Linked DNA regions of Arabidopsis thaliana. The protein of the gene in region 1 binds, or shares a complex with, the protein of each later gene. Each region holds a gene or a part of one and is shown on either strand. Other genes may lie near its edges. The genes, in order: TBP1 and PAD4.

Region 1 (4,853 bases):
TCTGAGTGAGTATCATTGTCCTAAGTCTCAGAGAATAAATGTGTTTGCTTACTTCGGTTGCAGATTAGCCATGAAGCTCCTGTTACAGGAGGCTTTGGGGCCGAGATCGCTGCAACTATAGTTGAGCGTTGCTTCTTGAGGGTAAAAACAAGTCATATTTGTCTACAGCATTATAATTTTTGGTAACAATGTCTGGTTTTCATATTTGCTTACATGTCTGGTTACTTTTGCAGTTAGAAGCACCTGTAAGCAGAGTTTGTGGCCTGGACACTCCTTTCCCTCTAGTGTTCGAACCTTTCTACATGCCAACCAAGAACAAGGCAAGTTTTGTTTCTGGTCTGTATCTTATACATATATTTTCGTTTTTGTTGCTAATTCTTCCCTGGCTCACAATTTGATGCAGATATTGGATGCAATCAGATCCACTGTGAATTACTAGCCCATCTTAGCATTGTACACATGATTCTCTGTCTCCTATCTTCGAAATAATTATTGATGCTGGTGGTTCAGACATGTAATGGATACTGTAATCACCACTTTTGTTATTTAATCTATGATCTTGAAACTCTCCATCTTTGTTCACAATCTTGGCCAATCTCTATGATAAACAAGACTTTAGGGCTACACACTGAGTTAAGGTTCTACTTGTAACATAAGTGGAAATGTGAGGACACTACAGCAACATACATGTAAGACATATCTTGGAAAGAAAAAGAAAAAAAATAGAACCGAAGAATTGTCTTTAGAATCTCCATTGTGTATATACAATGTTATATTATGAACCAAAACACAAGGTGAGAGTCTAGCTACTGTGAAAGCCTTTGTTCAAGGGCAAAATTCTCAGCAAGCTTTAGCAACTCCAAGGGGCTAAGACCGCACAACTAGTTTTGCAGGGAACAAATCCGTGACCCTATAAAAGATAAACACAACAATTAGGTTCATGCACGAATAAATCGAGAAATCAAACATTACTAAGAAAGATGAGGAAAGTTGACGGGTGTGTTACATACTATTGCTGTATCTTTCTGAATTCCGAGAGCACGGGGTATATATTCTCAAAGGCTTTGTAGGTCTCATCTCTCATCTGATAATGAGTGATCTCAGGATTTTTTCAGGTGACAGAAGAGCTAGAGACTAGAGAGAGACATAACAAGTATTATCACAAAACCTAAAGAGAAGTGAGATATTACCTTGGCTCCTGTTATTACGATCTTCCCAGAGACAAAGATTAGAAGGACGATTTTTGGGACTTTCATCCTATAAATCAGCCCTGGGAAGAGCTCGGGCTCATACTAACCACACGCCAATATGAGAGAGAGGTAATGGCCATCAGCACAACGTTTTTATCTCTAAAAGTCGGTCCTTGACTACTAAATGTATAAGTTAAGATCACTCACACTTGAGAAAGCAGCGTGAGAGTAAGCAAGACCTTCAAGTCTTATAGGGAATTTGACATCACAAGAACCTACAATATTCTGAATCTTGAAATCCTGCAGGATGTAACAATTGAATATATTTAGTATAAGCAAAAGTAAGAAAAAAAATGTTGGATAGGGAAAAGGTTTAAAGAAATTGTACCTTGAATTTTGCAGGGAATCCCAATTTCTGCACAATCCTAGCATACTAAACAATAAAACATCTCCTATTAGCATAAACAAATGAGGAGCAAATAGCATACTGCAATTATTGCTAAAGTAAAGAAGAACAGATCTATAAGAAAGTTAAATTAAAGAGGTTAAAGATAAAAAAAATCTACCTTTCTAGCAGCCATCTTCGAAAAGTCCTCGCTCTTAGCTCCAGTACAGACCTAATTGGAGATTAGTCGCCAAATTCAGAAGAGAATTCAAACCAATGTAATTAAATTTCAGAATTATGAAAAAGTATTGCCAACCAAAATAACTATACCATTTTCCCTGAGGCGAATATTAATGCTGTAGTCTTCGGTTCTCTGATCCTCATTATCACCGCAGCAAAACGCTGGAAACATAAAACACAAGAGGTATTACATAAGACGAGCTTAGCTAAGGCAAATTAGTTTAGCAAAAGCCAAAAACAGATAATATCTTAGATTCTAATTAATCAGTACACAGTATATAGACCAATCAGATCTCAGGTAACAATAAGGTCAACTCAAGGAGAGAGTACTCTTCCAAACAACTTTTCTACCGTTTATTAAAACAAAAAGTCACAATATAATGCAAATACCTTGGGATTATATTCAGCATTCCGAGCCTGCAAAGCTATGGCTTTAAGATCTAGCTTGCAGTCTAAGTTCACCGTGGAGACAATGTTTCTGAAACAAAACATCAAAGATGTCAACAGGGGTCAAACAAACACTTAATCCCAAGAGACAAAAAACAAATACGAAGGCACAAAAGAACTCACTGAAGAGTAGGAACAATCCCTGAAGGATGCTTGCTAAGATCAACTGGATTACTCCCTTCCAATCCTTGATCAGTCATTCTTCTATAGTTACACAAAACCAAAATCAACACAATCAAAATAAGCAATAGCCAGAAAATATAATAGACACTAGACACGATCCAAGACAATATGCTTAAAAGTCTTATCAGATAGACTTATCATTCAAAAGGGTTTCAATTATTTGAGAATACAGAGCCAATTTTAGATTTCATCTTCCAAAACAACGAGACTTATCCTCTTAAGGTGATGAAACTCATAAGATCTAATCGAAAAAACTCAGGAAAAGGATTAAAGGTCAGACCTTTGGATAGCGAAGAAATCCGAAATCTAGGGTTTCGTAGCTTTAAGACGAGAAGGAAAGATTCGAGGGAAGAGTTTGGGCGAAAGGAAGCCGAAGAATTGAGAAAAGGAGAAGCCTTTTATACAAAGAATTGAGAATCGAAGAGGGAAAAAGATTTATAAATCGGTGCTTATATAAGGGGAGAGTGAATTTGTTTCTCTCGCTTCTGGTTTTTAGATCTGTGAGAGAGAGGAGGTCATCGACTTGCGTTTCGGATTTGGGATCCTTAAGCCCCTTTATACCTATATATACATACCCATGCTACCCTTGACCGTCCTTGTTACATCGAGGGTAATTTTGGAAATTTATGCGGTAATGCTACGATGACGGCTGTCTTTCGGTTTTATGTGAAAGTCCACTCCTTTTCGGCCACGTCAGCTTTAGTGTTATAACGCTATTATATTTTTGCATATTTAGCGATTTAGTGAACATTTTTTTTCAAGTAGAAATTTATAATTTTTCATTGATTTTTTCAAATCACATAATGTGGAATTGAAAATCAAAATTTCACATCAGTTAAAATCCACTAACCAATAACCCCACTAAATCAAATCACTGTTACGACTACACCACCAACACAAAACATGATTTTCATAAAAATTAAAACACTAGAGAATTCTTGGTTAAACAAAGCATGCTTATGAGATCTCTAGCCATCTTTGTAGTATCAGCGCCATTGTTTCTCCATAAGCGAAGATAAGGATTTCGAAAACTGCGAAACAAACGATGATGATGATGTCTCTTTGTCCTGGCTCTCCTCATCCTTGTCTCTCCAGAACTTTAGGATAACGAGATTCTCCTCTTCTGTTGATCTCTGAACTACGATTCTCGAAGCATAACCTTTCTTTCTCATCATCAGACAAATCTCTGCTGGGAAATTTGAAGTTAATGTCACTAAGTAGAACCATCCTTTCTCTGATAGCAAAAGATCAACCACAGGCAAGATTTTATCGATGACTGTCCGGCCATTTTCCCCTCCTGCCCAAGCAGAGGCAATACCTTCCATTCCAACTTCATATTCAGGTGTTGGCACATAAGGCGGATTCACCACAATCACGTCGACTGAGCCAGCAAGTCTCTTCTCTAGACCAGTAGCTAAATCTGCGCAGATAACATCAGCATTAACTCCATGTGCTTCTAGAGTTTCTTTTGTCACTCTTGTAGCTATCGGGTTAGTGTCAATGGCGAGATAATGAACACCAGGAACTTCGTTTTGAAGAAGAAGTATAAGTGAAGTTATGACATATCCGCTTCCGCATCCAATCTCCATACAAATCTTAGGGTTGTGCTCTATAAGGTTGGTGCGATCAGCGAGTAATGCATCAACTAGCGCAAATGAATCATCACATGGTTCATAGACCTCACGATGCGAGCTTACAAGACGGATAGCAGCAATTCTTGGTGGCATCTTGTAAATGACTTGACTACTAAACAAACAAACAAAAACCACACCATTACAAGTTAGAAGGTTTTAACTTTGAGAAGGTGTATTCCATATTTCAAATATAAACAAGCTTGCAGTCTAAAGTTCACCATAGACATCAAACAAACACTAACTCTTAAGAGACTAAAATAAAGACAAAGGCACAAAAGAACTCACTGAGGAGTAGGAACAATCCCTGAAGGATGTTTGCTAAGGTCCATTGGATTACTCTCTTCTAATCCTTGGTCAGCCATTCGTCTAAAACAACAGACAATCAAACTAAGCAAAAGAACTCAGAGAAGATAATTGCCACTAGACACGATCCAAGACCACAAGAAAACTTATGCGTAAAAGTCTGATAAGATAGCTTCATCAAATGGGTTTCAACTATTTGGGAATACAGAGCCAATTTTAATTTCATCTGCCAAAACTACGACACTTTTCCTCTAAGCTATAATACCGATACGAGAAATCATATCTGAACGATTAAACCCATGAAAAGGATTAAAGGTCAGACCTTTCGATAGCGAGCAAATCCAAGTTTTGAACACGAAATCGAGGTTTTCGTAGCTTTAATACGATTATGGAAGATAAAGAATCTGGCTTTATGAGATGGAGGCTCAATCGTAGCCTTGAAAGTCGTGCCCTTCTCTCTCTCTTGAAGAC
Region 2 (5,854 bases), about 15 Mb from region 1:
GTACTTACAATCATATTAAGTAAAATATTCATATCAATAAGTACTAAACCATGAGTTATCTATATTGCAACATTTTCTATTCACATTATATTCGCGAGAGGACGATGAATATTTGGCCAGAGTCGTTAAGAATCAGAACTTGTAGATAACGAATCATAGATAGTCATAATTATATAATAGTATATAGTATGAAAATGGTATGTAAGGTATGCGTAACGATCTGTGAATAGAAACTATAGAACGAGAAGGTGAAACAAGAAGACACAAGTTTTGAAGAACAAGGACTGTCTCTATTTGTCTACTTATTTGACTTGAATTTATTTGATTTATTAACCCACAGAAAAATGGGGATTGGAAAGGAAAATCTGAATGGGATAAAGAGCTTCTTGGATCATGTAAATATTGGCAATCTCCAAGAATTCTATGTAGTAGGTCTTACGTTTTTCTATATATTTGTATTCTAAAATTCCTGAAATTAGATCACCATCACACTACATGTTGGTTTTAGAGTAATAGCTTTACTTCTCACCAAAAAAAAAAAAAAGAGAGCAATAGCTCTACATGAGAAACTCTTTGCACATTGCACAAAAAAAGAAACTCTTGCAAAACTTGTTGAACATTGACGATAAATTTTGTTTTAGAATATATAGTAACATTCATCAGAAAGTCTTGCATAAACATGATGAACAACAATGATACAGATTGTTATATAGCATATCAAACATTCGATTTGCTATTAGTCCTACTAAGTCTCCATTGCGTCACTCTCATCAACAACCATCTCAATTTCATTTTCATAACCCATTTTGCACTTGAACTCTTTCAGATTCGCCTCCCACACACTATAACTCGAGTTCTTCGCTTTAACATCCAAAGAAACCTCCTTCTTCGTCACCAATGTATTCGCATAACTCTCGAATGGAACAATCTTTTCCCGTAACAAAGATCTCCTCTGGGGATCACTACTCTCTTTTCTCGCCTCATCCAACCACTCTTTTGCTTGCTCAAGCTTAGCCCAAAAGCAAGTATCTTGCGTTGTGCTCGCGTATCTGCTTCTCACACACTCCTCAGGCACTTTAACTCCTTTCTGCCATTTATCAATCACCTCATACCTTTTAGGTCTATTCCCCTCCAAGTAATGCCCGCCAGTCTTTATATCTCTGTTTTTGTAGAAATTCGCAATGTCGAGTGGCTCGGCTAAGAGTTGATAAAATTGAGATGCGTAAATCCATTTCTTTCCTAAATGAAAATCAAAAGGTAACTCATTCGTCTCCACCATTTTAATCACTGTGTCCCAAAACTTAGCTAGTCTTATGCGACTCATGTTCACTTTAAAGTCTCTCTTCAACGAATATCGTTTGAAGAAATCGTAGTAACCTAGCTGCTCTTCTGATGCATCGCAACGATCTTTGTACCATTGAATCTCGAGTCTTGCTGGCAAGACACTAGCAAGCTCATTGGCTAACTCAGCTGACCTCAGAATAGGAGCCCGAACAATTCTTGTAGCTGTTTCTATACATTCTTTGACTAAAACGCCACTTGTGTCATCGTTAGAGAAACCTAGAGCTTCAACGGCTAACGCAACACCAGCTTGGTAGCTATTGTCGGGGATACTCCCACCAAGAAAGCTTCTAGATTTAAGAAACATGTGTGAAAGTGTGAACACATAGTGTCCGTACCTCTGATGTTCCTCGGTGTTTTGAGTTGCTGTGGTGTTGAGGATATTAAACATCAGACGAACAGAACCAGCGTTGTCTAGACAGACACCTCCTTTGTCGGAACAGAACAAGTAAGTTCCAAAGGGCCAGAATTGTTCATTGCTGCTTCTAGGAACGAGGTCGTGGATGGAGACCACGTGGCAGAAGTTGTGTGCTAAACGTGATCGTGAAATTGAGGTGGAGAGAGATTGGTTTCCGAGCAGAGGAGAGCCAAAGGTGATACAAAAGACGCGGAATGACGGCGGAGAAGATTGAGATAGAAGCCAAAGTGCGGTGAAAGCGGCCAATGCGCCGCCGGTTGAATGGCCGGTTATCACCACCAGCTTTTTACCTAACAATTCCAATTCCAATCCTTCCTTGATCTGCACGTTAATGCAGTCGACGTTACTGTAAATTGGTTGACTAACAAGAACAAAACTGATTATAGATTACCTTCCTTCTGAGTGTACAATTTCCTCTAATAATGTAAACTGATTTAGAGACTAAATTTGCCAATTACTTGGTTTAACCAAATTTGAATAAAAATCAGTTAAGACACCTCTCTAGACTTACCATTTTTACAACTTATATCTACATTAATGGTCACTTCTTGTTTTTTCTACTCATCAAAACCAATAGGAACTTGTTTTTGTTCAAGATTTTCATATCCTTAGAGACAAAACAAAAACTAAAAGTATTCGACGAAAAAGGGAATAAAATACATGATGGTGACACAATAATCATGGGTTAAAAACTTTTTGAGCGCACATTTATAAACTTCGCCGAGGTGTGTTAAAGCATAAAGCGTAAAGCTACCAATTCCATTAACATTTTTTGTTTTTTTTGGTGTCAAAAATACCAATGACGTTTCACTCACTAATTAGTAAATTTTTTAAATCACTTGGGCGGACGGACGTGATGGCATACAAACCAAACTTTCAATTGACTTGCTTATGATATCCAAAGGTCGCGACAATGACATATTCCAAATGGTGGATTTGGAATAATTGTGTCCACGAATCTTTTTAGAATTTCTTACAAGAAAATAATTTTTATTTATTATCTATTGTCTATTGCCTATTGGGGTAGGTGGTGGTGATAGTTTATAATAATCTTTTAAAAGGACAAAAAAAACCTCCATTTGGATTATAATTCATCAAAATTCAGAGGACAGAGATATTTAAATAAAAAATAGTAATGATCATCAGTTCTACTAAAAAGTACTAAAATACGTAAAAAAAATAGTAACTTTAATAGGTAAAATTCGTTTTCGCAAATCCAAACGAATAAAACTTATGATAGAATTTTGTTTTTTTTTAAAATCCTTTGTGAAATAATTTCCCATATTAGCATTTAATGATTTTTGTATTTTTCTCTCGAGGTATTATTAATTGAAATTCAAATATCCACATGCCTTGAAGATAATAAATAGGTTAAATTGCATCCAATAGAAAGAAAAAAAAACAGAGGAAGAGAAAACAAACCTTTAACTGAAGAAAGAGTTTGAGTATGGCAGCGTCGACCATAGGTAGAGGTTCATCGGAGGATAAGCCGGGGAAAAGAACATCTCCGGTGACTGGCAAGCCCACAAGATTCCCCAACTGAATCATCGATACCGCCGGTATAGCAACGTATGTAATCCCGGCGATGTCATGGATCTTTATACTCCCGTTGCAATTTGCGGTGTTGCATGAACTCCAAGAATCGGTAAATAAAGGAGTCGATATCATTACCGAAGCTTGCAACTCACTCGTCTCGAATCGACAATCGTCCATGATTGGATATCGAGTAGAGAGTTGCAGAACGATGATGTTTATGAAGTTGTAAATATATTACAAGCAAAAAGAAATTATCTATGTATCTTCTTGGCTTGTTCCTATGTAATTTCTTGGTTTTGGTCTTTGCTAAGTCGTCTTCTTCAAAGTCTCTTACTTTAACATCATAATTTAGTAAAATTGTACTGGTTTTATAAAATAATAATAAAGAAATGCTGTGAAAGGTAGGTCCATTCTCATTTTTTAATCATTGTGTGTAGAGGACAAAAAAATATGTAAATATATAGTAGAAGAAAATGCGAATCAAAGCATGTGATCCTATGTAATCGGAATGGTTTAGACTTGAGCATAAATTGACAACTTTTGATATGCAGAAACTTTGGTAAGAGTTTATCTATCTATCTTTCATGGAAATTGCAGAGAAATCAACCTACATTTGACTCAGACATTTTGAAGTTTTTTTGGCTAAGCTTTTAAAAGGAACCAATTACTTTCAGTTTCAGCTTAACATGATATAGTTATACAATTTGGCCCATATAAGTCCTACAAGTTAGACCCACCATGACTTGAGGAGATTTTTAAGTTGTGGTCTACCTCTACTAGAGAGATATAGATACTTGTTAATGAATTTGATAATTTACTGTTTGGAAAGGTTTATATCTAATTTAACAAAAAAACAAAGCATTGAAAGGTCCATGCCATTGTCATCTTTTAATCTCTGTTTGGGATCTTTGTGGAAAAACCTAGAGTACAAAATGGGGCAAATTATCAAAACAAAACAAAAAAGGTTTGAAGAAGAAATATCTGATGATTAGGACTTAAGCATGTATTAGAAAACTCTTGCCTTAACAAACTGATAATGATAAAAGAGATAATCTGAATCCTAAATGTCAATGAAACTATCCAACCGGACAATAATCATTGCAAAGCTACCATCTATAGTAATTTTCATGTAATTTTCTGGTTTTGATATTTTCCTGAATTGGAGTAAATATTCAAATTAAACAATGAACTTCTATAACCAAGTCTCTCCATTAGAGACTAGTAGTACATTTTCTTGGTGTTTTCTCATATGATGAAGTCAGTCGTCGTCCAAAGTTTTCTCAACTAAATGATGTTAAACAATCAATCTGACACATCTTTGTATCACCACATGTTATCGTCTCCCTATACTTATTTAGCTAATCTGCTTTATCTATAAAGCAATCTTGTAATTGTCAAGTTTGATATTTTGCTCTAACATGCTTCTTTTCAAGAGATACGTATAATCGAATCATAACTTAAAACAATTTAAGTACTTATCGGATTCCTAATCTCTTCTTCCACCTTAATAATACAGCTCGAAACTTTATACAAAATACGAAAAACGGTGTAACAAATCATGTATGAATATTGATTAGATTAATGATTCTGTTATGCGATTGAACTACAATAACAGATTCAATATAGCAGACTTTTCCAAAAATTGATGACAAATAAACGATCATGACTCAAAAGAAATTGCTCAAACTGTTATGATTAAGAACACATGGATTCATCAGTTACATGAAATGGATTGAAATCAGTAAATCTCTTTAATCTGATAAAACCCTAATTTTACAAACCCTCTTTGGATGTGGTTGCAGTAGCGGCGGTGTCGAAGTCATCGGGGTCTTTGGTTGGGTCAGATTTGTCGATTGAGGAGCGGAATTTATCGAGGAAAGGCTTGAAAGCGATCTCTATGGCTAACCATCCTAACGCCATCGCTGCGACCACCACAGTCGCCTGTTTCGCTCCCGAAGTTTTTCCCATCGCTGCGTCGTCGTCTTGTTCGCGTGTCGGTGGTATCAACCGATGGTTTAAGATCGGGAGATGGGTTTTACTAGGATGTTTAAAATGGGCCGGTTTGGGCTTCTCATTGGATAAAGATAGTTTGTTTGTTAAACTATGGCCCAACTTTTTATCCGTCTATTGGTTAATTAATACAAACTTTTTATATAATTGTAAATATAATTGAAAGGATCCCTATTTTATTTTCTTGGGAATATATATATGGAAAAAAACAATCAATAGAATTAGATAAATAGTTCAATATATCAACAATTTCTTTTTTGTTAGGATAAGGAACTTTTACCTTTTTTCTAATATAGTTACAAATTGTGTTTTTTTTTTTCTTAATTTATTATCAAATTTCTTTTTTACTTATATATAACCTCCTTTTTCATATAGAGTTATTAACTTTTTCATTTTCTCAGTAAATGTATTAACAAATTTAGACTTAATACATGAAGACATCTAATATTTTTATTGATATGTGTCGTGAACTCGTGACATGTTAGTTAGTAATTTTTATAAAAAAAATTTAGATAGGTTAAAATTATTTGATATGTGTAGGGGTGTCAA

Evidence for each region.
Region 2: TBP1 (region 1) and PAD4 share a complex: the UniProt entries of both Arabidopsis thaliana proteins name them as parts of the nuclear protein complex.

What each region holds. Positions count from the first base shown.
Region 1 is NC_003074.8:4,377,926-4,382,778, reverse strand, and holds TBP1 (TATA binding protein 1), read right to left. Parts: upstream 2,987-4,853; 5' UTR 2,726-2,986; intron 2,467-2,725; 5' UTR 2,463-2,466; coding exon 2,386-2,462; intron 2,294-2,385; coding exon 2,206-2,293; intron 1,978-2,205; coding exon 1,906-1,977; intron 1,808-1,905; coding exon 1,757-1,807; intron 1,624-1,756; coding exon 1,579-1,623; intron 1,491-1,578; coding exon 1,398-1,490; intron 1,293-1,397; coding exon 1,191-1,292; coding exon of another isoform or gene 1,128-1,190; exon of another isoform or gene 1,085-1,127; coding exon 1,011-1,084; intron 911-1,010; coding exon 910-910; 3' UTR 555-909; downstream 1-554. Other genes in the region: DIN4 (Transketolase family protein), read left to right, coding at 64-141, 234-320, 404-439; AT3G13440 (S-adenosyl-L-methionine-dependent methyltransferases superfamily protein), read right to left, coding at 3,432-4,191, 4,365-4,441. UniProt on the Arabidopsis thaliana protein: General transcription factor that functions at the core of the DNA-binding multiprotein factor TFIID.
Region 2 is NC_003074.8:19,429,184-19,435,037, reverse strand, and holds PAD4 (alpha/beta-Hydrolases superfamily protein), read right to left. Parts: upstream 3,944-5,854; 5' UTR 3,473-3,943; coding exon 3,182-3,472; intron 2,081-3,181; coding exon 746-2,080; 3' UTR 588-745; downstream 1-587. Other genes in the region: OEP7 (outer envelope membrane protein 7), read right to left, coding at 5,069-5,263.